Linked DNA regions of Stegostoma tigrinum. The protein of the gene in region 2 purifies or fractionates together with the protein of the main gene of each other region. This does not show direct contact. Links are inferred from orthologs where the notes say so. Each region holds a gene or a part of one and is shown on either strand. Other genes may lie near its edges.

Region 1 (16,172 bases), on a different chromosome or scaffold from region 2:
TGGATGATTGATGGGTATTAGTTTTTGCAAACATACAGACCTGTTAGCGTTACATCAGTAGTAGGAACTGTGCTATAATCTATTATAAAGGACGTGACAAAGCAGACACAAGGATACCAATGATTTGCGTGGCCATAGTCAGCATGGATTTGTGAATGGGAAATCATGTTTGATGAACTTGAGTTTTATTTGAAGATGTTACTAATAAAATTGATAAAACAGAACTGATTGACATATACTTAAATTTTTGAAAGGCGTTTGATAAAAGCTTCTACAGGATGCTGGTTAGAAAAATGAATGTGCTTGAGACAAGAGGTAATGTCCTGAAATATACTAATTAGCTGACAGACAGAAAACAGTAGGAATGAATGGAACATTCTTACATTTGCAGGTTGTGACTACTGTGGTATAAGGGTTAGTATTTGGGCCCTTGCTGTTCACAATATCAAATGATGTGGAGGTGCGGGACAAAATGTGATTATTCCCAAATTTGCAGATGATACAAAGCTAAGTGGGAATGTCTGTTGTGAGGAAAATGTAAAGCAGCTTCAGGAGGAGTTGGATAGGCTTAGTGATTGGGCAAGAATATGATAGATGGATTATAATTTGGTAAAACATGAGGTTACGTACTTTGGTTGGAGGAATGGACATGCAGATTATTTCCAAAATGGTGAGCGGTTAGAGAGATAGTCAAAGAGAATTAGATGCTCTTGTCAAGAAGTCACTGAAGGCAGGTGTGTCAGTTATTGGAAGGGCAAATGGAATATTAATCTTTGACACAGGAGGATCTGAGTAAAGGAATAGTGAAGTCTTGTTTCTGCTGTATAAGTGCTTGGTTAGACTGCACCTGGAGTAATGTATGCAGTTTTGGTCTCCTTTCTTGCTTTAGAGGGAATACAATGAAATTTATCAGACTTGATCCTCTTGATGGTGGAACTGTCCTATATTCTCTACAGGTTAAAATATTTAAAGGGATACTCAGGGTAGAATCAGGTAAGATATTTCCCTCATTCCGTGGAATCTACGTTAGGGGACACAATTTAAATATAAGTTGCAAGTGGAGTTATTTTTGTTTTCCTCAGAGGGTTGTGAATCTTTGGAATTCTCCAACACATAGGGCTATGAAAATTCAGTCTTTTGAGTATGTTTAAATAGGGATTGATCAATTTCTGATTACCAATGGCGTACAAAGTGGATAAAAGGCATTGAAATGTTTGATCAGTCACGATCACAGACTAGTAGGTCAGACTAGATAGGCTGAATTGGCTACTCCTGTTCCAATGAATAGACCACAGTCTTAACAACTTCCTGGACTCCCCTAAAAGTTATTTAGACCTCCAGTTACATGCTTATTTTAGATTAGATTCCCTACAGTGTGGAAACAGGCCTGTCAGCCCAACAAGTCCACACTGCCCCTTGGAGCATCCCACCCAGACCCATCCCCCATAACTCACACACCCCTGAACACTACAGGCAATTTTTAACATGGCCGATCCACCTAGCCTGTACATCTTTGGACTGTGGGAGGAAACCAGAGCAGCCGGAGGAAACCCACGCAGACACGGGGAGAATGTGCAAACTCCACACAGACAGTCGCCCGAGGCTGGAATCGTACCAGAGTCCCTGCACTGTGAGGCTGCAGTACTAACCACTGAGCCACCATGTATTAGGGTGGGGTGGCTGGTAAATGAAAAAATAAGTTACAGCAAGAGACTTTGAGTGTAGTCTGGATCTTGACATTGGTGAAATTGAAAGAAAACACACAAACATGCACAAGAAAGCATTGAAGGGCAGGTGAAACAAGAAAGGAAAGTTTGCAGTTTGACCAGTATAATAAAAGTGACCACGACAATGATTTGCTTTCCCAATTCCACAAGATGGTCTTGATAAAATATTAATTGCAAGCTTAGAGGATGATGGGGAAAGAAAACTGACAGAGAAAAGCTTGTTTTCTGTTTAAGGGATCCCCAGTATGAGATTATTGGAATAGGCTGCCTACCTTGAGCTGAGCAAAGCTGACTGGTAGGTTAGTCAGTTTGTTGTTGTAGAGGTCCAAATGCTGCAGGTTAATAAGTCGCCCAAAATCTGAAGGAAGCTCCTGCAGCTGGTTCTTGCTGAGATCAAGTTTAATGAGATGTGTCAGACTGCAGAATTCTGGCTGCATTTGACAAAGAGGTTGTTTTCAGACAGAGAAATAAACAAAAACAATTTATAAAAACAAACAGCTGCTCAAGAAATTGCTTGAAACATGGACACCAGTTAAAAATGTTCTCACTTAAGCTTACATCTCCAGCCAGGCATCAGAATTCTCAAACTCTGCTCACAATAAAATATTATACAAACCTGCCCACCACAATGCTCAAGGGAGACAAAACTCTATCTATATTACACAAAATTAACTAGCCATCAACAACCAGGATGCCACATTTCATGTCAGTGTCCCTGAGCCAAGATTCCTGCTCCTGATCATATACTGTAAAACGAAATCAAAAATGGAAGTTGCTGCATAAACTCAGTGGGTGTCACAACATCTGTGGAGAGAAATTGGAACGAACATATCCAGATGAGTGATCCTTCCTCAGATAAATTTAGTGCTTTAAATGTAAAACAAGATCAAGTCAAAGGTATTTATTTGATGCATATCAAGAACCAAATCACGATACTATAATTTACACAATGCTTTTTATGAATAACTAAAGCATTTTTTTGGCAAACAAATGATAATTTTATCATTACAGAAGGTATGAAATTGTTTGGATCAAATTCACTACTTGGTTCTTAAGACAACAGTAAAGATCATTCATTGGATATTGTTTAATGACACGAGGTACCATTAAAATTTGTAATTTATTCAGCCAATTACAGTTGGCTCAGTGGCAAGTTTGCCATGCAATGTGACACTTTGCCCACAGTGTTCAGGGTTGTGTATATCTGGGGAAATGGTCTGTGCTGCTTTGTGGATCGGTGTGGACTTGTTGGGCCGAAGGGCCTGTTTCCACTCGAGGGATTCTATGGATTAACAACTCTCAGTACAATGTGCGTGAGAATGGTTTTGGGATCAGCTACATTTCCCTCCATGGGCGAGGAATAAAAGGAATAAAATGTGCATTGCATTGCACATTTTTTAACATTAGGAGCACTATTTAAAAGGTAGCCACTGAGCACTATAGGAAATGCAGCAGTCAATTTAGGCGTAGTAAGATCACACAAACAGCAATGAGGTAAAACTTAAGCAGAACACCAAATCAATTCATTTTGCCGATATCTGAATTACTGGCCATAAAATCTTGTGTGTGAGAGAAGGCAGGGAAGACTGTGGCTTAACTTTTCATGCATAAAGACATTCAACAATGTAGCACTCCTTCAGTACTGGCCATGTCAGCTTAAATCCTGTGCATTTCTTTCAAGGGGAACTTGAGCTCATAACCTTCAGACTCAGAGGCAAAAAAACTAAATCACAGCTAACGACTACAAGTTTCTCACCAGCTGGATTGGGGCATGAAGCAGAGTTAATCCACTGACGCAGGACAGAATTACATAACCACCAAATGTCAATGCAATAGGCAGAAGAAAAAAACACACAAAAAACAAGTACTCATCATAGGCGATATGATGCAGCAGCATAGAATAAGCTTTACTCTCTATCTAACATTATGCTGCACCTGTCTTGGGAGAGTATGATGACTCAGCAGTGGAAACTTTATAGATAACCTGTGTTGCACTGTCCTGGGAGTGATGTAACAATTCTTTGAGGTGCTGGAGGTGACAATCCATCTTTAAACTTGAAGCCTGTAAGTCCAGGCTCCTTCAATGTTGTATGGTCCAAAAAAAGGAAAATGTTAGAAACTAGTTCACTTAGGGCCCACTTGAAGTGCTGCATATAGTTCTGATCACATTATTATTCATAATGAATGCTGGAGTGGACTTTAAGGCTATTAGGGAACGGGAGTCATTTTTAAAAAAAATTACGAAGATGATATGAGAAATGTGAGGTTATACACTTCAGGGAAGTGTGAACTTAAAATAATGGCTGTTCTTATTACCTAATGCTGCAAGGACCAAGGTGCACACGTAAAAGTTTTGGCAACTGATAGAGGGTGCATTTGAGGAAGAACATCTTTGTGGGGCGAGAGTGATAACTTGGAACTCACTGTTTGTGTTGGGGTGGTGGAAATAGAGATGGTCAATGATTTAAAGGAACTTAAATGGGCACTTGAAGGAAAAGGAGTTGCAGAGATATTGTGATGGACAGGGGAGTGGCAAAGACTGCGGAGGTCAGATAGACTTGATGGCCTAAGGCCCCTGTTTTGAGCCTTTACAACTTTAACAGTTTTGAAGCTTTAAACATTACATGAACATGAGGGAGAACTGGATACTGATAGTTTGTTAAACAGTGTGAAGAAACGCAAATGGACCATGAACACCAGCATGCTCTTGATGAACCAAAACGCCTTTTCACTCTGTTATTCTCATTTATTTTGACCCATTGAAGATATGTCCTGAATGCATCACATTCATAGAATCCCTACAGTGAAAACAGGCCCTTCAGCCCATCAAGTCTACACTGGACCTCGGAGCGTCCCACCCAGACCCAGACCCATCCCCCTATAACCCACCTAATCTACACCTCCCTGAACACTACAGGCAATTATGGCATGGCCAATTCACCTAAACCACACGTCTTTGGACTGTGGGAGGAAACCGGAGCACCTGGAGGAAACCCATGCAGACTTGGGGAGAGTGCGCAAACTCCACACAGAGTGTCGTCCAGGGCTGAAATCGACCCAGGGTCCCTGGCAGCAGTGCTAACAACTGTGCTGCCCTAAACGCATTGTACTCAGACTACTTTCTGGTGTTTGTAAAAACTGAATTTTCATGAACAGGCTGTAGTCAGGATGCTGCATCCCATGACAATCACACAAGGGTATTACCATATTACAACATTTTTTTCTAAGTCAATGATCTCTCTCCCTCTCCTGAAGGTGTTTTTCTGAGTGAGGAATGTATATTTGTACCAGCTCTCCCTTCTCCCTCCCCTGATGGTATTGACTCCCTCAGGGATCAAGAATGTTCTTGAAAACATCACACTATCTCAGAGGTGGCACATGATGATTGCTGAGCTATGAAATCTCACCTCCCCAGACAAAGATAAAGTCAGAACCTAGGCGATTCTTGCTGTCAAGAGAAGTCACATGACACCTTGTTTATCTAATTGCTACCTTCACCCCCACCCCAGAACACATGGAATTTATGCATACAGAACACACGCACACTAACAGATGCGACTTATACAATAACTTACCGGCAATGTGACAAGACAATTACAGGACAGATCCAGGACGGTTGCTTTGGGCAATGCTGCCTGAAAATACAAGTATTATTTTAAAGTTTGATAGGATTAAAACACAGCTGCTATTACAAGGCAGCAAACTTGAACTTTTGGTGGCCCAGAAGGAATTGAATGCAAGGCTCAAACAACATTTTCATTAATGCATTACCATCAACTCAGTTCTAATTCCCTTAATTCATACTCAAGGATCTCCTATTGCAATGTGAGACAAATAGGTTTATAATGAACCTAAACTAGGAATGTGATGAGGACAGTACACAAAGTACAGTACAGCATAGGAACAGGCCCTTCAGTCCACCAAGCCTGTGCCAAATTTCTAAACTGAAAACGGTGGACCGTATTCCTGTATTTCCTGCCCATTCATATATCTGTCAAGATACCTCTTAAAGAATGCTATCGTATCTGCCTTCACCACCTCCTCTGGCTGCACATTCCTGGCACTTACCCACTTCATAAAATAAAAATCCTTGCCTCTCACATCTCCTTTAAACTTCCCCGTTTACCGTAAACCTCTGTCTCTTAGTAATTGACATTTCCACCCTAGGAAAAAGACTTCAACTATCCATTCCAGCCGAGCATTTCCATTTTGTAAACTTCTATCAGGTTGCTCCTCATACTTCAACATTCAAGTGAAATCATACTAAGTTTGTCCAATCTCTCCTCATAGCTAATACCTTCCCATCTAGGTAATATCCTGGTAAACTATTTCTGTACCTTCTCCAAAGCCTTTTGGTACTGTGCCGATCAGAATTATACACAATATTCCAAATGTAGCCTAACTAAAGTACTATACAGCTGCAACATGACTTGCCATCTACTTAAAAATAATCTCTCCTAGTGACTGAAGGCAAGTATTCCATATAGTTTCTTGACTACCTTATCCACCTGTGTCGCTTCTTTCAGAGAATTATGAACCTGTATGCTTAGATCCTTCTGTATGTTGATGCTATTTACTGTACAGTTCTCTCCTGCATAGATCTTCCAAAATGCATCTTCTCAATTTGTCCAGATTAAACTCCATCTGCCATTTCTCTGGCTGTTTCTGGTTTATCTATCCAGCTGTATCCTCCGGAAATCCTCCTCACTAAATGCAGTTCCCCCAATCTTTGTGTCATCCAAAAATTTATAATCTAACTACCGACATTCTCCTCCAATTCATTTGCAACAGGGATCTCCAGTCAGAAAAGCACCCCTCCATCTCTGTTCTGTCTTATCTGATTAAGCCAGTTCTGCATCCATCTTAGCAGCTCACTGTGGATCCCATGTGACTTCACCTTTTCTAACAGGCTGCCATGAAGGAGCTTGTCAAAAGTCTTGCTAAAGTCTATATGGACAATATCTACCACCCTGCCTCGATCGTCTGTCATTGAATTTTTTTTGAGGCAATCAAGTTTGTGAAACATGACCTTCACTGCACAAGTCATGCTGCCTAATGCAAATAAATGTAATTTTTTCCAAATGTGAGTAAATTCTAAGGATCTTCAATAATTTCCCTATCATTGACATAAGGTTCACTCACTTGTAATTTCCCAGATTATCCCTTCTGCCCTTCTTAAACAAAGAAACAAGATAGGGAATTCTCTGGTCCTCTGGAATGTCTCCCGTGACTAAAGAGAATGCAAAGATGTAGAACAAAGCCCCGATTTCTTCACTAGCCTCCCTCAGCTTCTTGGCTAGATCTCATCAGGTCCAGGCGACTTGTCAACTTTAATGCTTTTCAAAACACCCCAAACCACCAGCTTTTTTATTTTGACATGATTGCGTAGATTGACGTGGATTCTGCATACACAGATGCACAAGAAATAAACGTCTGTTTGTTGATGGGCACATAAATTTTGAGACATACAATACAGGTAATGTCACTATAGGCAAACACTTCTGCAATTTTTAATAAGAACATTCTGCTTTAATCAAACTATTAACTTGCTAACAATAACGCAAGACCTATTTCTGTTGCTAAGATCATCAGACCCAAAGTTGTCACAATGTGGTTTACTTCATACACAGGTTGAGACCCCACATGGATTGTGTTAGAAATATAAAAAATTGAAGAGTAGGCCATTTGGCTAAGATTTGGAGGATTGGCAGTCTGACAGAAGGCAGAGAGTTGGGATAAAAAGCTCTTTTTCGGAATGGCAACTGGTGACGAGTGGTGTCCCACAGGGTTCAGTGTTGGGGCCACAGCTTATATATTAATGATCAGGAAGAAGGGACTGGGGACATTCTGGCGAAGTTTGCCAATGATACGAAGATAGGTGGACAGGCAAGTAGTACTGAGGAGGTGGGGAAGCTGCAGAAAGATTTAGACAGTTTAGGAGAGTGGTCCAGGAAATGGCTGATGAAATTCAATGTGAGTAAATGTGAGGTTTTGCACTTTGGAAGAAAGAATACAGGCATGGACTATTTTCTAAACGGTGAGAAAATTCGCAAATCAGAAGTGCAAAGGGATCTGGTGTTGGTCCAGGATTCTCTAAAGGTTAACTTGCAGGTAGAGTCCGTAATTGAGAAAGCAAATGTAATGTTGTTGTTTATCTGAAGAGGGTTGGAATGTAAAAGCAGCAATGTGCTTCTGAGGCTTTATAAGCCTCTACTTAGGCCCCATTTAGAATACTGTGTCCAATTTTGGGCCCCACACCTCAGGAAGGACATACTAGCCCTGGAGCGTGTCCAGCGGAGAGTCACACGGATGATCCCCGGAATGGTAGGTTTAACGTATGATGAACAGCTAAGGATCCTGGGATTGTACTCATTAGAGTTTAGAAGGTTGAGGGGAGATCTAATAGAAACTTACAAGATAATGTATGGTTTAAGAAGGGGTGGACACTAGGAAGTTGTTTCCGTTAGGCGGGGAGACTAGGACCCGTGGGCACAGCCTTAAAATTAGAGGGGGTAAATTTAAAACTGAAATGAGACGACATTTCTTCAGCCAGAGAATGGTGGGCTTGTGGAATTCATTGCCGCAGAGTGCAGTGGAGGCCGGGACGTTGGATGCCTTCAAGGCAGAGATCAACAAATTCTTGATCTCAGAAGGAATCAAGGGCTATGGGGATTGTGCAGGGAAGTGGTGTTGAAATGCCCATCAGCCATGATTTAAATGGCGGAGTGGACTTGATGAGCCGAATGGCCTTACTTCCACTCCTATATCTTATGGTCTTATGGCTCTTGGAGCCTGCTCCATCATTCAGTACGGTAATGGATAATTATCCATCTCGGCACCCTGTTCCCGTTGTCTCCACATACCCTCAGATCATCTTAGCCCTGAAAACCATATCTAACTCCTTACTGAAAACATTCCATGTTTTGACCTTGACCGCTTTCAGTGGCAGAGAATTCCACAAGTTCACCGCTCTCTGGGAGAGAAACTTTGTCCACAACGTGTAATTACAGACTCAGGAGCCTCTATCATTTCCTCCCGCTTCAAGTGGACACTGCCCGGCACTCAACGTCTGTTTACGAAACGAGAGACTGGGCAGTGGTAGCAGGCTGACAAACTGTGGGAACCATCGCACTCCAGCCCTGCCCACGCACAGGGTCTCAACCCGCTGGTGCCCACCGACAGACATTTCCTCGGTTCTGCCCCACCCCCACCGGCCGCCACTCACCAGCTCCCGGACCGGGACCTCACTCAGGCCGTTCAGGCTCAGGTCCAGTTCGTGTCCGTCCAGCCGTTCCCGGAGGCTGGGGCTCGGCTTCAGCTGCTTCCCGCTGTTCTTCGGCATCTCTACTTTGCAGCTAGGATTAGCGCCGGTTCCCTACCCCGCTCCGCCTTAATTTGCGCCGGCACCCGGCCTCTCCTTCCACACCGGCAGCTACACGTCAGATCAAACTCCCAGGGGACAGACAAGGAAACCAGGAGGGGCCACTTTGGGAACAACTCCTTCAACAGCGCTCCGATCATCCGGGAGGAGAACTGACTAACTGCAATCCGCAGCTCATCCAGATGTTTCTTTTTCTGAAGCAGGGTCTAAGGCCGAAACGTCAGCCTTCCGCCTCCTCTGATGCTGCTTGGCCTGTTGTGTTCATCCAGCTCTACACCGTGTAATCTCAGATTCTCCAGCATCAGCAGTTCCTGCTATCTTAGAAACACAACTCCTTCAGATTCAAGCATGACCCAAACTGCAAACCTAAATATAATCAAATTTTCAACTTAAATCAACATCAAAATTTCTTATCCAACTACAAATCATAATCTCCAAACTCACAGATGAACCCTGATTTCTGAACAAAATATAAACCCCAATCTGCAATCCAAAATATCATTTGAAAGTATAAGAACAGTTGCCACGCGGCAGCAAATATGATAAATACCAGATAATTTGACTTCACAAACATGATTGAATGATAAATAGTGATTGGAGGGATCTCTTTTGGATTTTGCCATTTACGAGATGACTTTTAAAGTCATGGGAAATCAGAGAAAAAGTAGGCCATTCGTGCCCCTGAATTTCTGTCAGCCAATCAATAAGATCATGTCTGATTTAATCGTGATCTTAACTCCATTTTCCTATCTGCACCCCTCTTCCAGTAATCCTTCACTCCTTTGTAGAATGATATAGATGGGTAGGTTAACTTAGGTGACTGTACAGCTGATTTGTGATGCCATGAGCATGGATTAATTTCCTATAAGGGCTTAAAGTTGCTATGAAGGCCCTGCCTTCTCAACCCCAACTCTCGCCTTGGCACATTAACCATTGATTAAACTCGCCACCAGTTGTGTCTTTCTCTCTAAGGAGAGATTGCAACTATGGTGAATTAAGCTGTACATGAATAAAATAATTCAGCCTTGAATTTGGCATGGGTGGCATGGTGGCTTAGTGGTCAGCACTTCTGCCTCACAATGCCAGGGTTTGAATCCAGCCTTGGGTGACTGTCTGAGTTTGCACATTCTCTCCATGTTTGTGTGAATTTCTTCTGGGTGCTCAGGTTTCCTCCCACAGCCCAAAGAGGCGCAGGTTGGGTGGATTGGCAATGCTAAATTGTTCATAGAGTGCAGGCTAGGTGGATTAGCTTGGGAAATGCAAGGTTACAGGCATGTGGCAGGGGGAATTGGTCTGGGAGGGATGCTGTTTGGAGTGCCAATGTGAACCTGATGGGTCAAATGGCCTACTTTCACAATGTAGGGATTTTTATCAACATATTCTTGCAATTGTAATAAAAATGGACCATCAATATTCAAATTCCTTCACCTGATTGACCTAAGAATTGAATGACAGAAAATGCTTGGAAAAAGGCCACATTCTGACCAAAAATGGCTGCTGTGATCTCCTGACCACAGATTGAGAAAAATTTGGGATATGGAATAAATGAAAAACAGCATTATTGCGACTGCCATGTTATCTAAAGACTGAAACCAGCAAACTGACTACAATTGCACAATAAAATCACACCTTGGGAGATAAAAGGTTACCTGTGCATTATTTAGTTTGAAAAAGCAATAAAACAGATTCAAGAATATATAAGTAAACCTATATCAAGACAGCTTTTGAGCAGCAAAGGAGAAGTGAGAGAGAAATATGATTATTTAGACAAGAACCTGGAACTCCCTGTTATTCCTAAACTTGAAGTCAGTACCCAGCAAAAAACCAACTTGGGAAAACAACCGGTCACCTAGGAAGTCAAAGATCTACAAACTTTGTCACTACTGAAGAAGCAAGACAAGAACGAGTTAGCATTCAGGTCATTCTCACAACTCAAGGACTCTGAGCACTTTAAAGTGAAATTGCCATTACTTCCTGTCCATACCTCAACTTCCTTTTTAAACTTATTACCTGAGTATTTTAGGTGTTTGATGTTTCATTTTTAATATTTTATGGGGGTCAGTGGGTAATAAAATTCCTCTTTATCCCACTCAAGTAAACTTTGCAATTTATATCCAATTTATTCCTAGAGGGCCTATCTGGCCATCAAGCCTTGTTGTAAATACAGTTAAATACATGTTAGAGATCCACCATGGAGATGCTCATCATTCTGAAGCTGTTTTGTTCCCACCCTTGCCATAGATCGGTTCACTACTGAGCCAATGGGCAGCAACACAGAAAAGAAATGGCACCTGTCTGTGTGTTGCAGTAGGTTAGTGCATTTGGCTGTAACCAGAAGGTTGGTGGTTTGAAACCATCTAGAGACCAAGGACCTCCTTACTTTGGGATGTCATGGTGACTTAGTGGTTAACACAGCAGCCCCTCAGCACCAGGGACCACAGTTTGTGCCACTTTCAGGTGACTGTGGGGAGTTTGCACATTCTCCCCATGTCTTGCATGGGCTCCTTCTACAGTCCAAAGATGTACAGGCTAGGTGGATCAGCCATGAGAAATGCAGAGTGACAGGAATGGCGGTGGGGGGGGGGGGGGCGGTGTAGGCTTGGGTGGGATGCTCTTTGGAGGATTCAATGGGCCAAATGGCCTGTTTCCACACTGTAGGGATTCTATGTATAAATAACTTCTTTTTGGAAGAGCAGCAAATATCCTTATCTTCAATGAGCTTGAGGAGGACACTGGGAACAATGGTAAGCCTGCTGCTGTGTGGGGGAGACTGTAAAGGACAGCATACCCGGTAGGTGGGTGAGAAGAACAGGCTGTGATGTGATAACTGGTTCAGGGGATAAGACTCTGAGATGGTGATGGAAATGGAGGAGAAGGTTCTGAGATAGTGAAGGAGATGGGGTAGAAAGATTTAAGATGGTGAGGGAGATGGGGGAGAAGACTCTGAGATGCTAAGTGGTTTACGGAAGGAGGGTCCAGGATAGCAAACAGGTTGTGAGATGACAGCACTCTCCCTTTCATTGAAGCATTGATGCCCTGAAAGGCTGCAGTCAAGGTGGTGGAGCAGGCCTGTTGATCACTTGGCAGCATTTATATGGGAATGAAGGAGCGTGAGTAGGCGAGTTAATGTCAGAGTGGTTAAGTGAGTATGTATTGGAATTAGAAAAAGCTTGTATGGGGAATGGGAGTGTACGGATATGGGACAGTGTCGGTTTAGGACCAAGGGTGCACGTTTGTGTGCATGAGGATTGAATGCAGGCATGTGTGTTTTTGTGTGGGAGAAACAGAGTGGAGGGGTGAATGTGTGTGTTTCTGCGTGTATGTGGGGAGTGGGAGAGTTTCTATGAACCTTGAGACTGAGGAAGCCAAACACAAATTCACTTTTCTCCTCCTCTTCATTCCTCAAAACCAATCTGCAAAGCAGCATGGGTGTGCAGGAATACCCTGGCCGAAAGACAAGATGCTTCTAACACTTCTCCCCCACTCAACCCCCACTTCTATATGAATTGTACCAAGGCCAGCTCAGAGTGTGTGTTGCCAGACATGAAAGCAAGATCAGTGTTAGTTAAATCCGAGTCAACTTGGCCTCAATGCCTACCCACAGCTTTGGGTGATCAGGACTTGCAACCTAGTCCAGCTTTAGCTCTGTTTCTTAACCAAGGTGGTTAAAAAAAACTTGTATTTGCCGCTGACACATTTTAATGGCAATTTTATGAGTTACTAATTTACTTAAATGATTAATTTATTTCTTTGGAATTTTAAAAAATTCATACCCCTTATTGTGCCAAACCTTATGTTTATATTTGCTCACTGCACTTCCAATCACAGTCCCCATTAAAGAGAAAGAGAAGTTGAAATGTGCCACACCCCTAGTGCAAGGGATAGAGTATTCACTGTTGTCACATGTACTCCAGCAGAGGAGTACATGAGTACAGTGAAAAGTTTTAACAATGGCACCATCTTAGGTAGAAGTAGCTAGGTATAAATGTTGGATACAAAACAGGAATAAAAGGAAAAGTAATAGCATTACTTACAGTGTCTAAAAAAAAGTTAGAAGTAGAATAGTTACAACAAAGTTAAAGGATTGACATTACAGTCCGGTAAAGAATTTCAGATCAATGTTACATTGCAGCAGCTCAACAAGCACGTGGTCTGATCGCCCACGCCAGGCCCCTGACCAACAACAGTCCCACTCCACTCCAAGTCTCCAGCTGCTCCACCAGACACTCAGCTACACCAAGGTAAGTTGCGCTGCTCCTGGACTGGCTTTTCTTCTCGCAGATCTCCAGGACTCATTTTCCCTCGAGTTGTTCCAGGCCAAGCTTCCTCTCATGATGTTTTGAGACACACTTTCCCTTGTGCTGTTCTGGGGACTACTGCCCCAATCACTGCTCCAGGAGCGTTAAAAGGAGAGAAGAAAATAGTAACAAAAGAAAAAGAACAGGCGGAGTAGAGAGGGTCTGCATGGAGAGTGTTACTCTGTCACCATCTTCCCGGAAGGAGCTTAGATAACTCTGCTTTGCAAGGTGCTTTGTTCTGTATCAAAACAGTATTGTACCTGCTTCATTATTTAATGTGGAAGTGTGGAAGAAGTTTTACTGTACGTTGAATTTATACTGTACCTTCACCGGGAGCATTTGGTGGGGACAGTGGTATAAAAACTGAACATTACAAGACAATTATGTGTTTTAAAATGTCTTCTCCAAGCACTTTGGCTCAGAGAAATGCCATTGTGATCCAGTCACCATCAGGAGAAAAGCCCATTGACGTGGAATGGCTGTTTTAACACCTTTCACTAGAACAGCTACTATGAATTGGAAAGAAAAAGTATGGAGCCAGAAAGGTCGTTGCTGCTGTTCTGTCAGAAATATTGAGGAATAGGAACAAATAACAATGTGATAACAGTTTTGTCGGAGCTGGCTAAACAACTTTAAAGGGTCAAATCTGGGAATCTCTAGACCTTCTGGTCTGTGATGATCTGCTGGAGAGACATATCCAATGAAGTGTACCTGTTGGTGATAATTATAATCTGTGAGATCCCAGGCAGAATGGAATGATTGTTGAAGAACACTACAAACTCAGCCTAGTATGGCTCCTTTGAAGAGCTGGAGGTGACTTTGGGATAGTTCTTTTAATGATGCATATCTATCAGAAGCATGATGTTGAACAAAAGTGTTTGATAATATATATTCTGGTTGTCTTAGTTGGTAAATACAAAACATACAGTTTTCTTTAGTTTGGTGCATTAGTTATGTATAGGTTAGGGCTTGATCTATGTAGATTATATTTTGTTACAGTAAAAGTCTTAAAAGGTGAGATCTTGTCCTTTGTTATATTTCTATTATTTGTTTGGAAAATTCAATCCTTTAAAAAAGTTACAGGCCTCAATGGGGTTGTAAAATTGTACAGGAAGCATTATTTTGTACGCAACGCATGCTGTACCTGCCCTGGGAGTATTGGTGGGGACAGTATAGAAAGGAGTTTTACTCTGAATCTATGCCTAGCTGCATCTCCCCTCAGAGCATTCACAGGGACAGTGTTCTCAGCAATTTATTCTGCAACTCACTTGCACTGTGTTTGATGGGGAAAATGTATTAACAGTTGAATTACTGTTAGTTCATTGATTCCAGCTAAATTATCTGGATAGATATGGTTATTAAGTGACAGCATCAACACAGATTAGAAATTCAGATTTATGGTTGGGAACAGCTTTTAAAATTAGGAAGGTAATTTTGAATCTGATTTATCCCTCTTATTGTCTTTATGTGCGCCCTGCCTGCATGGTTATCTCCTTGGAAACAAAACAACAAAAGCATCCAGATGCTGCATGGTTGCCTCCTTGGAAACAAAATAACAAAAACATCCAGATGCTGGAAATCTGAAACAAAAACAGAAAGTGCAGGAGAAACTCTGCTTTCTCTGAACAGATGCTCGAAAACCTGCTGAGTTAACGTTTCTCATCCAGTGATCCTTCATGCTTGGACAATCCCGTGTTTGTATTAAATGTTCGAGCCCTGGTAATTTCTGAAAACAAAATAGATCAAATGCCTGGATCTTCACCTTTTCACATTATGTCAAATACAGATTTGCAGGGAAATTCTATCCTTAAATCACACCCCATTGTATACACCATCCACCACATCCCCAGTCTTTTCAAAGTGTTTTGCTTTTTGAAACTCTGGTATTCCACAATGAGACTAACTGGACAGTTATTTCAAAGACAAAAAGAAACAAAAATCGCTGATGAAACTCAGCAGGCTGTTGACTGGAGGGTTCGTTTGTGATGCAGAGTAAAATCCCCGCACAGACTAGGGTCAGTTGGGTTGACGTTGGTTTGTGATGCAGAGTAACGCCTGCAGCGTGGGTTCAACCCAAACAACGTCGCCTGATGTTGAGGAAGTGAGATATTTCACAACAGCTGGCAGAAACACGATGGGCTGAACAGTTCAGTTTCTTTCTTTAATGCTGTATGATTGCAGATGTCGGGTGCTGTGGTGTGATTTCAGTGGGGAATTTCTGATACTATAAACGGCTGTAGTGGGCAGAGTCACTTCTGGCCTGGCGCTGCATTCCGGTCTGATTACCCGAGTTTGCCTGTTTACTCCCGCACACCTCCTCTAAAGAGATTGAACCCTACCCCTGACCATAGGGTCAAAGAACAAGCTGCCCTCAGTGTTCAGCAAAGTTGCAGTGTCTCGTTTGCCCCCAATGATGTGTTTAAACGCTGGGCTTTCTTTCTGCTGCATTGGCGAATTCTTTCTGGGACCTCTGGAACAGACTTTGACAGCGGATACCACACACTGAATGGTCGGCAGAACCGTCCATCTTTCATTTTGAGCAACTGTTGCGCTGACATTGGACGGGAAGGAACTTCTAATCTGGTTTTAGTGTGGGTTGCGGAAGTGTAAAAGTTCAGTTAGAAGTGTGTTAAGAGGGAGCCCTCGGAGTTATCGCCGTTTTCTACACTGTATTTGTAATAATGGGCTTCGCGTTCGGGCTGAGGAGTTGTGCCGGCCCCTGGAACCGGAGCTGGCGGCTCTTCCCGGAAGATTTCTGGAAAGGCT
Region 2 (16,954 bases):
TTGGACGATCAGCTAATGTCATATTGCCCACTGCGACTGGCTCGAAGGGCTGAATAACCTACTCTTATTCCTGTTTTCTATGTTTCTATTCCAGACTGATGTAATAAAGGCCAATGTAACATATGCCTCCCGACTTTCTTTGTGTATCTGCATACTATTTCCAGTGTTCCTTGCATGTTGTTCATCTCATTAAAAGAGAGGGTATGATCAAACCTTTTGGTAGATTTATCAACATTCTGTAATTCAGGTTAAACCAGTTATAGAGCCATAGAGTCATACAACATAGAAACAGGCCCTGTGGCCTAACCTGCTGGCCAGGTTTTCTAGACTGAACTAATTCCATTTGTCTGCATTAGGCCCATATCCCTTTTAAACCTTTCTTATCCACGTACCTGTCTAAATGTTGTTTAGATGCTGTAATTGTATCTGCCATTTCCCCTGGCAGCTCATTGCATACATACACTACCCTCTGTGTGAAAAATTTGCTCCTTAAGCACCTTGTAAATCTTTCCTCTCTCACCTTAAATTATGTGTGCTAGTTTTGGACTCTGGGGAAAAGAATTTGGCTATTCATTCTATCAATGCCCCTCACAATTTCATAAACCTCTGTAAGGTCACCCCTCAGCCTTTTGTGCTGCAAGGAAAATGATCACAACCTATCCAGCCTTTCCTTATGACTCGAGCCTTCCAGTCTCAGTAACATCACTGTAAACATTTTTTGACCATTTTCAGTTTAATAACATCTTTAAGAAAGCAGGGCAAACAGAATTTAGGCAGCATTCAAATGTAGACTTACCAATATCTTAGTACAAGAATCACAATGACTTAATGTGAATATCTGGGAGGCTAAGTTAGATGCAAATTGTCTTCTTCATCTCTTCTGAAGCAGTGATATGGGATTTGCATCCAGCTGTTCACAGTTGCTGCCAGACAGGCTGAGTTTCTCCAGCACTTCATTTCTGAACTTCAGGATCTGCAGTGCTTTACTTTTGTTGGAAACAATATGATCTTTCCTTGTGGGCATTTGGTTGTCAGAACACTGTGGGATAATTTTAGACAGTCTTTGAGTCAAATCTCTGGATTTCCCCAATTTCACAGCAAAGCGTACCCAACACTATTTGAGGGAGAGGTCCACTCAGCACCTTCTCAGAAGTTATTACTGTCTGGAAGTGGATATTTCTGGATGTGAGTTTGCTCGCTGAGCTGGAAGGTTAGTTTTCAGACGTTTCGTCACCATTCTAGGTAACATCATCAGTGAGCCTCCGACAAAGCGCTGGTGTTATGTCCCGCTTTCTATTTATCTGTTTAGGTTTCCTTGGGTTGGTGATGTCATTTCCTGCATTGGTGATGTCATTTCCTGTTCTTTTTCTCAGGGTTGGTAGATTGGCTCCAAATCAAGGTGTTTGTTGATGGAGTTCCGGTCGGAATGTCATGCTTCTAGGAATTCTCTTGCATGTCTCTGTTTGGCTTGTCCTAGGATGGATGTGTTGTCCCAATCAAAGTGGTGTCCTTCCTCATCTGTATGTAAGGATACGAGTGATAGTGGATAGTTGTGGCTAGTTGATGTTCACGTTTCCTGGTGACTAGCTTTCTGCCTGTTTGTCGAATGTAGTGTTTGACACAATTCTTGCAAGGTATTTTGTAAATGATGTTCGTTTTGCTTGTTGTCTGTATAGGGTCTTTTAAGTTCATTAGCTGCTGTTTAGTGTATTGGTGGGTTTGTGGACTACCCTGATGCCAAGAGGTCTGAGTAGTCTGGCAGTCATTTCCGAGATGTCTTTGATGTAGGGGAGAGTGGTTCTGGTTTCTGGACACGTTTTGTCTGTTTGTTTCTCCATCAACAAAAACATTGATTTGGAGCCCATCTACCACCCTCTGAGAAAAAGAACAGGAAATGACATCACCAAACCCAAGGAAACCTAAACAGATAAACAGAAAGCGGGACATAACACCAGCGCTTCACCAGAGGCTCACTGATGATGTTACCTAGAATGGTGACGAAACGTCCGAAAACGAACCTTCCAGCTCAGTGAACCAGCTTACATCCAGAACAAAATAAAGACCCACTCTTTTCTGGACCGAGAAGAGGAGAGCGCAACTGTGTTGGAGTTGGAAGGAAGACGTTGGGTTGGCTGTGCACCCTTGCAACTGGTGGATCTTAGTGCCGGCTTTGGCCGAACGCCGGTTCAGGGTAGCAGCCAACCTGCAACGATGGCTGCGGCGAGTGCTTGTGCCCCAGGTCAGGGGGTCCGGAACACCATCCGCGTTTCCATGAAGAAGGTGGATGAAGGTGCACCTGTGGACCGCACCTTCTTCGTGAAGAGGGTCCTGTTGGACTGTTGTGGGTTCGCTGCTGCGGACATTTACTGCCTGCAGGATTTCCCCGGAGGAGGTTTTTACGATGTGACCTTCAGGAGTGCCAAGCTTTGCAAGCGCTTCCTGGAGGTTTTCAAGGAGAAAGGAGGTGAGGGCCCCTCTCCGTATTGACCGCTGTCCCGCTTTTCGTGATGCCAGTGCAGAGGAGTCGTATGGTGACTGTACACATGTACAACCCACATGTGCCAGCAGCAGATGTCCTGACCTTCCTCAGAAGGTACGTGAAGGTGGAAGGGGACCTAACCAACATCATGGACCCCTTCGGGATCTGGACCAGTAAGAGGCAGGTCACGGTGACGCTGAGGACGGGCGCGGACGAGAACATCGTACACCCACCGTCCAGCTTCGCGATCGGTGGGAGCAAGGGCTACCTGACCTACGCAGGGCAACAAAAAGTCTGCCATGCCTGTAGTAGGTCAGGTCACGTGGTGGCCGACTGCAAAGCCACCATCTGCAGGATCTGCAGGGAGCAGGGACACCTTGCAAAGGATTGCCCAAAAGAAAAAAGCTGCAACCTTTGCGGGGAAGCTGGCCACCTCTACAGGGCATGCCCTCGGTGGGGGACCACCTACGCCCAGGTCGCTGGCAGGGGCAATGCGGGGCAAGCCCCCACGGAGGAGAGGAAGGCACCAGGCCCCTGCAATGACCCCCCTAATGTGCAGGAGGGCCAGGTCGTACAGGAGGGCCCAGCCCCGCAGGACGGACCCAAGGCCAGCAAAGCCCCCCTGCAGGCTCCGCTCCTCCCCGACAACCCGGAGTCAATGGAGGAGGCGACAGGGGAGTGGACGACGGTCCGGAAGGTGAGGAGGAAGGCGTGCCGGCAGGCCCCGGCACCGCAACCATCAGGCGGGAACAGGCAGCTACAGGGGGGCTATAAGAGTTCTTCTGACAAGGGAGATTCGGAGGAGGCCCGCCCAAAGCAGAAGCTAAAGATCTCAAGGGAGAAGGAAAGCAGCACCCTGATTCCAGGTGACAGGAGGCGTCCTGAGGCTCCCTCCGACTCCCAGACATTCGTCGCTTGGGCCCTGGAGGGCCCCCCTGAACGTTCAGGCAGGAAGCAGGAAACAGCATGTCCCCAGCCTGACTCAGAGCCGGACTCTCCTGCCCCCATACCCCCGACGGGGGGATGCCACCCGGAAGTCAGCACGGACGGGTTCCTGAGCCCGGAGAGCGTCCAGCAGTTCGCGTGGGCAATGGGCATGAAGGGACAGATGGAGGGGCTGGACCTTGGACTCGGGGAGGGTACTGCGGTCACTGCCCACAATGGGGGTATGAGTTGTGAGCGTTAATGTGCGCAGCGTCAAGTCCACCGCAAGATGTGTGTCCACGTTGGCCTACCTGACCACCGTCAAGGCGGACCTCCTGTTTCTGCAGGAGTGCGGGATACCGCAACTCAGCAGGTACGGGAAATGGGCGGGCGCCCGGACCTGTGGGCCTTCGATCTGGTCGGGGGATAACGACTGTTGCTCCTCGGGCCTGGCTATTCTGCTGCAGGGGCGCAACTTCACCATTTCTCAAGTTCAGGAGGTGTTGGGGGTGTGCCTCATAGTGGCTGATGTCACCTATAGGAACGCTCCCCTGAGGCTGATCAACGTGTACGCCCCAGCGGTACGGAGTGAGTGTTTGGCCGTCCTGCAGCAGCTTCCACCCCTGCTGGCTACGTCCAGGCCGGACATCCTCGGCGGAGACTTCAACTGCATCATCAATGCAGACGGAAGATCCGGCGTGGGGACAGCGGGTGGGGGGAGTCAACTGGATGTCACGTCCAGATTCCTGATGGGCACGTCGAAGGACGCCAAACTGCTCGACGTCTTCAGCACCCCTGCATACGGAGCGCAGCGGAGATACACCTGGTCGCGGCCAAACGGGTCATTCCGCTCAAGGATAGACTTCCTGTTTGTGTCACCAGCATTCTCAGTCAGGTCCACCGGCGTCGAGCCGGTGTTCTTCTCTGACCACTGCCTCCTGCTGGCCGACTGTCACTTACAGGACGACCAGCAGGCCGGCAAGGGGACGTGGAAGCTCAACACGACTCTGTTGGCCCTAGAAAACGTTGAGGAGCTTAAGAGGGAGTACGCTGGTTGGAGAACCATGAAACCCCTCTTTGAGTCTCCGGGCAACTGGTGGGAGACAGTGAAGGAGAAAATCAAGAGGTTCTTTGTCCTTAAGGGTGTTCGGAAGGCGAGAGAGAGGCGGAGAAAGCTGTTGCGACTCCAGAAAAGGATGCAGAACCTGCTCCTTCTGCAGTTGATGGGGGTCGATGTCACGGAGGACCTCCGCGAGGTGAGGGGCCAGCAAGCCTCGCTCTTCGCCGCGGAGGCCTCCAGGATAACCTTCCGGTCCAAGATCCGATCCGTGGAGCAGGACAAGATGTGCTTGCGTTTCTTCTTTCAGAAGGTGCACAAGGAGAGCTCTGTGCTTAGCTGGCTGAAGGAGGACGATGGCTCGGTGTCGTCGTCTCGGCCTGACCTTTTGAGGATCAGCAGATCCTTCTATGCCGGACTATATGACGCGAAGCCCACGGACAACACGGCCTCCAAGTCGTTCCTGTCGTCTATCACGGAGGTCTTAGACGACGGCACGAGGGACTGGCTGGACCGGCCGATATCCCTGGACGAGTTGACCAGAGCCCTCAAGTCCTTTGAGAGGAATAGAACTCCCAGGAGCGACGGCTTACCAGTCGAGCTGTATTCCGCTCTGTGGGACCTTGTCGGCCAGGACCTGCTGGAGGTGTACAATAGTGTGCTTTGGGCAGGGGAAATATGCAGGTCCATGAGGAAGGGCATCATCACCCTCATTTACAAGAGTAAGGGGGAGAGGGAAGAAATTAAGAATTGGCGTCCCATTTCACTATTGAACGTGGACTACAAAATCCTGGCCAAGGTCATAGCCAACCGGGTCAGGTCTGTCCTGGAGTCAGTGATTCACCCTGACCAAACCTGTGCTGTGCCAGGCAGGAAGATCGCTGAGAGCCTCGTGCTCATCAGGGATACGATCGCCTACGTGCAGAACAGGAGGGTGGACACCTGCCTCGTCAGCCTGGACCAGGAGAAGGCCTTCGACAGGGTCTCTCATGCTTACATGAGGGATGCCCTCTCCAAATTGGGGTTCGGTGAGGGCATCCGCATTTGGATCCGGCTGTTCTACACCAACATCATTGGCGCAGTCTCGATCAACGGGTGGGAATCGGACAGTTTTCCCATCAGATCTGGAGTCAGGCAGGGCTGCCTGATCCCTCCTGCCTTGTTCGTGTGCTGTATGGAGCCCTTCGCCGCATCCATCAGGAAGGACGTGAGCCTGAAGGGCGTGACTATCCCAGGCAGCGGAGGCCTTCAGGTCAAGACCTCCCTGTACGTGGACGACGTCGCTGCCTTCTGCAACCGATTGTCGGACGGTGAGTAGACTGTTGGACATCTGCGGCCAGTTTGAACTGGCCTCGGGTGCCAAAGTCAATAGGGGTAAGAGCGAGGCCATGTTCTTCGGGAACTGGGACAACTGCCCCTTCATCCTCTTCCCTGTCAGGACAGACTACCTGAAGGTGCTGGGTGTTTGGTTTGGTGGAGCTGGGGTGTGCACTAAGACTTGGGAGGAGCATATCACCAAACTGAAGCAGAAGCTGGGCAGGTGGACGCTCCGGTCCCTCTCCATCATGGGTAAGAACCTGGTTGTCAGGTGCGAGGGGCTTTCGGTACTGTTGTATGTGGCGCAGGCCTGGCCTATCCCCTGGACCTGCACCGCTGCGGTCACCCGGGCCAGCTTCCACTTCATTTGGGGGTCGAGAATGGACCGGGTCCGCAGGGACACCATGTACAAAGACCTGGGAAACAGGGGAAAGGACGTACCGAACACCAGCCTCGCCCTGATGGATACCTTTGTATGTGGCTGTATCAAGCTGTGCGTAGATCCTCAGTACGGAAACACGAAGTGTCACTACTTACTGAGGTTCTACCTGTCCCCGGTATTGCGAAGGATGGGCCTGGCCTCGTTGCCACGGAAAGCTCCAAGTAGTTGGACCGTCCCGTACCACCTGTCCTTCGTGGAGAAATTTTTGAAAGGAAACACCTTTGACCACAAGGCCGTCAGGCAGTGGTCAGCACGTAGTATCCTCGAGACCCTTCAGGAAAAGGAGAGGGTGGATCCCGTCGCGTGGTTCCCCACGCAGACTGCCAAAGTCGTTTGGCAGAATGCCTCATTGCCAGAACTTTCAAACAAGCACAAGGACATTGCTTGGCTGGCGGTGAGACGGGCTCTGCCAGTGAGATCCTTTATGCATGCCCTGAATCTCTGCGCCACCGCACGCTGCCCTCGAGGTGGCTGCGGGGGGGACGAGACTGTCTATCACCTCCTTCTGGAGTTGCCTATGCGCAGAAGGTCGGGAAGCGGATGCAGTGGTATTTGTTGAGGTTCGTCCCGAGCAGCTCCGTGACACGCGAATCCGTGCTCTACGGGCTGTTTCCTGGGACGCACACCGAGACCAACATCAACTGCGCCTGGAGGACCATCAATGCGGTGAAAGACGCTCTTTGGTCTACCCGCAACTTACTGGTCTGCCAGCTGAAAGAACTGACCCTGACCGAGTGTTGCAGACTGGCGCGCTCCAAGGTCCAGGACTACGTGCTGAGGGACGAGCTAAAGCTTTGGGTAGCTACTGCCAAGGCACGGTGGGGAAAGACCACCGTATGAAACCCCTCGTCCAGAATAGAAAAAAGGGCCCTATCTGGTAACTAGGCCCAGCCGGCGCCTTCCCCAACTGGTCAGGGGGCCAACAGGGACTGTGCAGGGAGACGACCGCCAGGGTATTTTCTTTGCTTTGTTTTTTTCTTTGTTTTGTGTTTTTCCTTTCGTTGGTGTACGTACCCCCTGGGTAACCCGGAGCGGCTTGCATGACTGGGTAGGTGTATAAATGTTTTACTTTTTTGTACATTCTATGAATAAAGTATATTTTTTCAAATAAATGGTGACGAAAAGTCTGAAAACGAACCTTCCAGCTCAGCGAGCAAACTCACATCCAGAAACTCAACCTGAGCTACAAATCTTCTCAACACTCGCTAGTAGATATTTCTATTGAACCTGTTTAGAGGTGTTATGACATGCCTCTTGATCAGATGAGAGTTGAACCCAAGCCTCCTGGGTCAGAGGTTAGGATACTAGCATTTCACCACAAGAGACCTCCCTATTTCATCAATAAGCAGGTTGCATGGTGGCTCAGTGGTTAGCACTGCTGCCTCACAGCACCAGGGACCCAGATCCTTTTCCAGCCCTGGGTGACTGTGTGGAGTTTGCATATTCTTCCCACGTCTATATGGGTTTCTGTCAGGTGCTCTGGTTTACTCCCATAGTCCAAAGACGTGCAAAGCAGATGGATTAACCATGCTGAATTGCCCACAGTATTCAGGGATGTTCAGCTAGGTGGATTAGCCACAGGACATGCAGGGATAGGGTATGGGTGTGGGTGGGATGCTCTTTGGAGGGTCAGTGTGGGCCTGTTGGACCAAAAGGCCTGTTCCCACACTTAGGAACTCTCCTGGCCCAGAGGCCCTGTACAACCACTGTACCGTAAGAGCCCTTAAACATTTTATAACCAACCTGTACTGAGATGTTAAAAACAAAAATAGAAATTGCTGGAAAATCTTCACAGGTCTGGCAGCATCCATGGAACGAAATCAGAGTTAACATTTTGGATTGAGTGACCCTTCCTCAGAGCTGCACTGAGGTGTTGACTCTTTGGATGCAGCTGACGACCGAGCGGCGCTGGGAAAGCTTGAGGCTTCAAATAAACCTGTTGGTATGTAATCTGGTGTCATGTCACTTCTGTCCTTCCGATGCAGAGTCACTGGACTCGAAAAGTTAACTCTGAAACTTTCCACAAATGTAAGTCATTTCTGCTGATTTTCTCCAGGAAATTCTGTTTTTGTTTCATAATACCGCACAGAAATATTTCAGATGTCCAGCTCTTTCAGTCATATTACTGAACAGAAATTTATTAGCCCATAACCCACGTCTCCTGGCCTAGAGCGAAGGACATTGCCACTACTCCACAAGAGCTTGCCCTCGAGTTTGGAAAATATATGTTGATACTACGAGATTACTACACGATTCTGATGTCGGCGGGATTTGAACTCGAAACTCCTGGATCACAGGTAAAGATTCTTGCAACACGCCACCAAACCAAAAGGGGTGGGGCGCCAAGGCGGCAGCAGCTCTTCAGCTCCTGCTGTCGGCCGGTGGCGCTCTCGTTCGAGGTTTTTCGGCTTCCATGTTGCCACGTTCGATGGGCGCGGGGGGCGAGGCGGAGCATCCCGCTGGGAAGCCAATAGCAAAAAGAGCCTGACGGGAGACCTACGATCGATTGGTGGAGGGGGCTGTCGATCAGCCTGCGGCCACGCTTTCCCCACCCCCCCTTCCACGGCTGCGGAGGGATTTGGTCTTGGGGGTCAGGTGAGGACTAACGGCCGCGAGAGCGAGTTTTGTGTGTATGTGTGAGAGAGACGCAGAGTTGCCCGGCTGTCGCCGCATCCTTCTCTATCTGCTGGCACGTTTTGAACGAGTGAACCATGACTTCGAAGAACAAGACAGCTAACAGCCGTTCTAACCCGTCAGGATCCAGGAAAGGTGAGGGGGATGGGTTTGACGGCCGGGCCTGGGAGGGGGCGAGAGGAGGTCCTGCCGCTGCTCGGCGCGGGGCTGCCGGATCCGGTATTCACCCCCACCCGCTATGGGAAAAAGACGAAGGAAAGTTGGAGCTTTTACCCCCCATCCCTCCTCTGGAATGGGTTTCCCGCTGCTGTACCCCTTTTTTTCCTACCCGACCCACTTACCCCCCTCGCCCATCTCCCACCGCTAACGTACTGTCAAATGCTCCTTGCTCTGGTTTGCTGGGTGTGTAAGACAGGGTCCGCCCCATGTCCGTGTGATCATTGCTTTTCATGCAGCGTTTGTGCTGTCTTTCGGATCGATTATATGCTACTTCTTTTCAAAGGTCATTGATACATCTCAGCTCTGCTTTTATATCCGTGTTTCATTTATCAACATTTGTGGTCTTTCTTTTTAAAACTGGATGTTAGAGAAGATACGTGGTTCCACTTGCATAATTGTTAATTCTTTCAGTTTCTCCTTTTGTAGAAACTGAAGTTATAACCCATCCTGAACTATATAGGAGCAGCTGGGTTTGCCCGATTCCCTTATACAGCCTGCACATTTATCTACTTTTCTTTCTAGATAATTAGGAATTGGACAGTTACATAGCCCGTGTAAGGCCATTAGAAATATTAACAGTGGACCCTCAAGCCTTCTCTACTGTTCAGTTGGATCATAGCTGATCCAACACCCCTGCCCTACTTTCCTGCCTTTTCCCTATGATTCCCTAACTGATCAAGAATCTGTTTAACTCAGCCTTAATTTGATTTGAATTTATTGGTGTCATATGGCTCTAAGTACAGTGAAAAGTCTTGCTTTGCGAACAGTATGGACAGATCATAGCAAACAAGGACATACAGATCATAGAGTGCTTAGAGCAAAGCATACAAGGTTACAGCTGCACAGGAGATTTGAAGTTAGTCTGTTTAGCAGCCTAATAACAGCAGGGAAGAAGCTGTTCTTGAACATGCTGGTGCATGTGTTCAAGCTTCTGTATCTTTTCCCTGATGGAAGAGAGTTGTAGGATCTTCAGACCTGTAGATTTAAAATATACACAACGACTCTGTCCCCTCAGTGCTCTGTGACAAGGAGTTCCAAAGACACTCAGCCCTCGAGAGAACAAATTCCTCTAATCCCAGTCTTAAATTGGAACCTTGTTATTCTGAGATCTGAGCCAATCCTGAGCCCTCTGGCCCTGGACTCCCTCATGAGAGAAAGTATGCTGTCAGCATTTACCATGTCAAGACCCTTAAGAATTGTATATGTTCCAATGAGGTCACCTCATTTTTCTAAGCAGTTCCAACCTGTTTAACTACATACTCAACAATTTTGAGTCTAACCATTGGCTACATTTAAAAACAAAATGGTTTTTCTTCTGTCACTCTGATTCTTTTGCTATTCATCTTGTATTGATGCCTTCTGGTTCTTGATCTTTTGCAAATAGAATGTTTCTCTATCCACTGCATCCAGATTCCTCAGGATTGAACAACAGTCAAAACTCAAAGCAATCTTTTTGAAGAACAACCAATGAGTCTGCCATCTGTTTGCATGACTAGTTTCTTATCCTTGGAAACAATCTCTTGTCTGCACCTTGTCTAAGGTCTTCGTACCTTTCTTCAGGGAGATGTCAGCTTTGTCGACACAAATTCACTTGAGGCTGAATCAGTGCTTTTAAAAAAGCTTTTCATAACTAGAACACCCCTAGCATAGCATAATCCAAGTCTGCCACTCTGTTGGGACTGAGTACCTGCAGACTTTGATTCCTTTTGTCCAGAATGGAAGGAATAGCTGGAGAGCCATAGGTGGGTGTTGAGTGCTGCACAGTGTGATTTGCCTTGTGTGTTGATCTTGATTATATTGTGCTTATTTTTTGTGATCTTTATACCTATTTATAAGCAATTCCCATTTATATCACTTTTATATAATTGTAATATGTAGTTGTAACAGTTGGAAATGCCTGTTGTTCACTGGAAAAGGACATGGGTGTAGTTACAATGCAGTGTGGAGCTGGAGGAACACAGCAGGTCAGGCAGCATCAGAGGAGTAGGAAAGTTGATGTTTCGGGTCGGGACCCTTCTTCAGAACTGTTCTGAAGAAGGGTCCTGACCCGAAACGTCAACTTTCCTACTCCTCTGATGCTGCCTGACCTGCTGTGTTCCTCCAGCTCCACATTGCGTTGTCTCTGACTGCAGCATCTGCAGTTATTGCTATCTCTTGGTGTCGTTTCGTCTGGGTTTATAGTATGTGTAGTTTATATAGTAATGTTGAGACATTTCAGTGTGATTCAGAAATTGTTTACAAATCATGGGTGTTGCTTGATTTTAAACAACTCGTCGATATTTTTGAAGGCAAAAGTTTATTGCATAGGCAATGAGGAAACTCAGACTTTGAATGTGAATGTTGAAAAGTGTTACATGTATTCTGTTCAAATGCTGCAATTCCTGTGTGGAGAACTGGCTGCTGAGTGGGGGTGCTTAAGGATGTTGTTGACCTGAATTTTCAGAAAGCTTTAGATATATGGTTTGATTAATGAAAATGAGAACTTCTAAAACTAAAGAGACCTATGGGACATAATTTAAAAATTGTGAAAGGATATGAAATTGGACTGGAAAGTTGACGGAAATGTATGAATTGAAATGTGATTAGTCCTTTTATCAGTGAAATGTATGTGAGCTGTATTCTGTATTTTATAAAATGGTATATTGCAGAGAAGGAAGCAGAAAGTGACAGATTGTCGCTAATTGGAACTGAATGTGGGGAAGGCAGAGGTTTAGACCGAAGGAGAATAAGTCAGAATATTTTGTGAATTGGAAGAAATTGGTTCAGCAGAGACTGGTATACAAATTATTATGTAAGCAGACACAAGCAAAACCAATCAGCAGTTCTTTGTTTTATTACAATTACATTGTTGACATTTAGCTGTGTGGTTGGAATTGCGTGAGTAAGTTGGGGCTGACTATTTCATGCATGCGGGGAGTGAAATGCTTGGACTTTCTGCCCTTCTTTTAATGTGACTTTTATAGGGTAACTTTCTTTGAGTGGGGAAAGATAACGTGCCATTGCCTCAGCTGGGTAGGCAGCTAATGTGTGGCTCAGAATATGCCAGCAGCACAAGGTTTCATTCTAATTCCACCTGAGGTAGATTCTGGGCTTGCCCCCTTGACTGTTCAGCAGCCATCTTAATAATTTCTTCAAAGCACACTATTTCATTCTTTGTAAACCTTGTCTTTTGAATATCCTTCAAAGTAAAGAGCTTTAATTTGCAAACTTGGTTAAATTTAACCAACCGGAGAACACAGTCCAAAGTATTGCAGCGTTGAGAATAGTTAGAGAGAGAGAATAGACCTCTCGAGGAAAAATAATAATGAGAGAATAGGACCCCTTGAGGACCAAAGTAGACATGTATATATGGAACTGCAAGAGATGGGCAAAGTCTGCAGTGAATACTTGTACTGTGTTTACAGTGGAGAAAGACATGAAAACTTGAACTTGGGGAAGTTAGTGGCGACATCCTGGGGACAGTACAGGTGGTGTTGGAATTGACCTAGAAGGTTCATGATGGTAGGGCAACAGATGCAGTCTATATGGATTTCGGTAATGCCTTTGAAAAGATTCCACTTGGTAGACCGCTCTGGAACGTCAGATCACATTGAATCCAGGAAGAGCTGGCACATCGGATACGCAATTAGCTGGATGGTATACTGGAAGGAAGCTTGCCAGACTGGCGGCCTGTGACTAGTGGGGTGCCTCAGGGGTCAGTGCTGGGCCCATTGCTGTTTGTTATCTGTAATCAATGATTTGGATAAGAATATACAAGTTATGATTAGTAAGTTTGTGGATGACACTAAAATAGGCTGTATCATGGACAGTGAGGAAGGTTATCAGAAATTGTGCAGGATCTTGATCAGCTGGGGAAGTGGGCTGAGAATTGGCAAATGGAGTTTAATATAGACAAGGTGTTCCATTTTGAAACTTAAATCCAGGTAGGAGTTTCGAGGTGAATGGTAGGGCCTCGAGGAGTGTGGTGGAAGAGAGGAATCTTGGAGTTCAGGTGCATGAATCTCTGAACGTGGAGTCACAGGTACACAGGGCAGTGAAGAAGGCTTTTGATACACTGGCCTTCATCAGTCAGGGTATAGAGTGTAGAAGTTGGGATGTTGTGATGCAGTTGTCATGACGTTGGTGAGGCTACACTTGGAGTATTGTCTTCAGTTTTGGTCACCTTGCTATAGCAAGGATGTTATTAAACTGGAAAGAGTGCAGAAGGAATTTACAAGGATGTTTCCAGGACTCAAGGGACTGAGTTATAGGGAGAGGTTGGACAAGCTAGGACTTTTTTCTTCAGAGCATAGGAGACTGAGGGGGATCTTACAGAGGTGTATAAGATCATGAGAGGCATGGATAGGGTGAATGTACTCAGCCTTTTTCCTAGAGTTGGGCAATTGAGGACTAGAGGGCATTGGTTTAAGGTAAAAAAAAGAAAGAATACATGGAAATCTGAGGGGCAACCTTTTTAAACAGAGGGTCGTATGCATATGGAATGGGCTGCCAGTGGCAGTGGTTGATATGGGTACATTAACAGCATTTAATGGATAGGAAAGATTTAGAAGGATGGGGGCCAAGTGCAGGGAAATGGGATGGACATTTTGCTTGGCATGGACCAGTTTGGGCCAAAGTCCTGTCTCAGTACTGGAAGTCTCAATGACTCTGAGAATAGCACAGTTGACAAAGTAAGACATTGTAGTTTTATCTATCAAGATTTGAGTCTGCTCCAAGAAGGGCATTGTTTCTTGCCCTTTTTAATTTGGCAAGTGTAGGAGTCTGCCTTGATGGCATCATGAACAGGTTGGATCTTGTGGTTGTCATTCAGAAGTAATTTCCACTTCTAAATTATGGATTAGTATTATACCTGCTCAGTTACAGATAAGGAATAGAGAAGTTGATTGCATGACACTCAATATTTTTTTCTGTCTTCAACTATGTTACCTGGCTAAAAACAAAATTGAAATGAATAAGCAGATACCACAAATCTCACGACAGCACGTAACTAACTGGTAATGTGTGTATCAAGCTAACAATCTGTCCTGGAGTTGAGATAGTATTTTATCAAGATAATTTGTTCTAACTGACGATGCTCCTATGCATATGGACAAACATGTTGTCGTGTGAGGCATTGTGCATGATACATTATAATATGCTCAGGGCACAACACCTTGCATATTTTTTCTGGTCAATTCACGAATGAAATCTTTGCAATCATCTTTCTGAGATGGTTGTTTGGAATGATAGAGATGTTCAGAATTCTATTTCTAAAGCCAAAATTATTGTTCCTTCTGATTTAAATGAATAAAGCAGTAGCTGGAAGGAAGACGTGCTCTACTTTTGGGAGGAGTCATCAGCAAATAGATGGATGGTAATTATTTCAGCTCTTGATTTACAGAATAAAAACTGAAAGAGCTGTGGATGCTGTAAATCAAGAACAGAAACAAAGTAGCTGGAAAAGCTCAGCATTTTTGGCTGCATCTGTGAAGGAAACTGCAGAGTTAACCTTTCGGGACCAGTAGCTCTTCCTCAGAACAGTTTGTGTTTGCTGCTCTGTGTGGTGGAAACTGATGAACTGGCCCCAGGACTTAAATTTTGATCCTGAAAAGTGCCTTGTCCATCACAGATTGCAATAATTAAAACAAAATTTTGTGGATGTTGGAAATCTGAAACACAATGCTGGAGAAACTCAGCAGGTTTGGCAGCATCTGTTGAGAGGGAAACAGAGTTAATATTTAAGGTTTCGGAGTAGATTTGTAGCTCGGGTTGTGCATGTTGAGGTTGGTTGGCTGGTTTGTTCCGCAGACGCTTCGTCACCGTACTTGGTAATATCCTCAGTGCAGCCTCTGAAGAAGCATCAGTGTGTTTTCTCACCTGGCTCTTAAACTCTGGGGTCCATTGTGATGGATTGCCTCACTTCCGGGTTTCCTCCATAGAGGAATGTATATGGGGTCGAGTTTAATGTGTTTATTAATAGCTTGCTTCGTGGAGTGCCACGTTTCCAGGCATTCTCGTGCGTGTCTCTGCCTAGCCTGTTCCAGGATCTTGGTGTTGTCCCAGTCGAAGTGGTGGTTCTTCTCCATGTGGATTGAGATGAGTGAGTATTGGTCATGTCTTTTTGTAGTTGGTGTTCATGTACTCTCGTTAGTTTCCTTCCTGTTTGCTCAATGTAGTGTTTCTTGCAGTCTCTGCAGGGGATCTTGTAGATGACATTGGTCCTGTCCATGGTGGGGAATGGGCCTTTAGTTCGGGTGAGCTCTTGTTGTAGGGCTGATGTGGGTTTGTGTGCCCCTCTAATGCCCAGTGGTCATAAAAGTCACGTGGTGAGTTCTGATGTGTTCCTGATGTAGGGCAGTGTGATGAGTGTGTCGGGGCATGTAGAATCTTTCTGCTGTTCCTGTAGGCATCTCCTGACCCAGTTCTTTGGATAGCCATTATCCTTGAACACTTGGAAGAGATAGTCCTCCTCTGTATTCCTCTTCCCCTTGACATAGTTCCATGTTGTTGCCCTTTTTAAATAGTGGATATCCAAAGAACTGGGTCAGGAAATGCTACTGAAAAGATATTCTGAATGCCACATGAATGGGTAATATGGTAGCTGAATTATGCTGCCTGCGTGAAACTACATACATAAGCCATACAGCCAAGACCAGCAGGTTGTATTAGATAGTGTAGTCTTTCATGGCGAGTAAGCTTCTGACCATACCCAACCAGCCTACCCTCATCGATATCATAACCGTGCACAACATTAAATGTAATCCCAGTAGGACTTATCTACTAAATTTAAGGTTGAGTTGGGTTTGCAGAGTGGTGTATTTGCATGTACAGTTTTATAGCTATTAATGTAGCAGGCCCTTTTTTATGCAAATCGAATGTGTACACAGTGCACTTGATTCAACTGAACCAAATAGGTGCTATTCACTGGTTAATTTTCCTTTCCATTTGGGGGATGTGGGCGTCATTGGTGAGGCCAGCATTTATTGCCCATCCATAGTCTTTGAGTTGGTTAGCTGCCATCTTGAATCAGTGCAATTCACATACCGTAGGCTCGTCCCAAAATGCCATTCAGGAGATAGTTCCAGGATTTTGACCTGGGGCACAGAAGGAACAGTGATATATCTTCAAGGTAACTGAAGGAGAACTTGAAAGTGATGGTGTTCCCATATTTGTTTTTGTCCTTCTAGAGGTAGTGATCACAGGTTTGAAAAGTGCTGTCTAAGGAACCTCCATGAATTTCTGCAGTGTATCTCGTAGATAGTACACTCAGTAGCAACAGAGTAGTGGAGGGAGTGAATGTTATGGATGCAATGCTAGTCGAATGTGCTATTTTGTCCTGGGTGGCTGTTGTTCTATCACACTGCTGACTTTGTAGAGAGTGGACTGGTGTTGGGGCGTGGAGAGGTAAATTTCTTGCTGCAGGATTCCTAGTGTGTAATTTGCTTATGTAACCACAGTGCCTACATAGCGTGTCAAGTTCAGTTTCTGGTCGATGGTAAGCCCTCAGGATATTGACAGTGGGGTTTCAATGATAGTAGTGCCATTGAAGATCAAGGAGAAATGGTTAGGTTCTTATGGGTGATGGTCATTACTGGCATTTATGTGGCTGAAATGTTACTTGCCACTTGTCAGCCTAAACCTGGACTTATTTAGCCATGGACTGCTTCACTGCTCTGGACAGTGTCGTGATGAGAGTCCTCTTGTCTAAAACTTAGACAAAAGCCTGGCAAACTCCATCATTATTGGTGTATGCTGCATGGCAATGTCTCTATCAATCAGAGCTCACCTGCCAACCGATCAATACTGTCCTCCCACACACTGAATGTTAACTTTTCGTTATTATTCTTGACAAATGTCCTGATTTGCACAAGGCAAGAAGCTTTGGTAGAGTGTGTTATTTGTC

Evidence for each region.
Region 1: the proteins of unm_hu7910 (region 2) and lrrc59 purify together in Homo sapiens (co-immunoprecipitation; 3 studies listed by BioGRID and IntAct, with this or other methods). This does not show direct contact. The link is inferred for Stegostoma tigrinum from reciprocal best matches to the Homo sapiens genes ASPH and LRRC59.

The regions. Positions count from the first base shown.
Region 1 is NC_081375.1:36,166,756-36,182,927, reverse strand, and holds the start of lrrc59 (leucine-rich repeat-containing protein 59), read right to left. Parts: upstream 9,183-16,172; 5' UTR 9,070-9,182; coding exon 8,953-9,069; intron 5,363-8,952; coding exon 5,303-5,362; intron 2,159-5,302; coding exon 2,000-2,158; intron 1-1,999. Other genes in the region: acsf2 (medium-chain acyl-CoA ligase ACSF2, mitochondrial), read left to right, coding at 16,088-16,172.
Region 2 is NC_081358.1:34,172,268-34,189,221, forward strand, and holds the start of unm_hu7910 (aspartyl/asparaginyl beta-hydroxylase), read left to right. Parts: upstream 1-8,753; 5' UTR 8,754-8,930; coding exon 8,931-8,988; intron 8,989-16,954.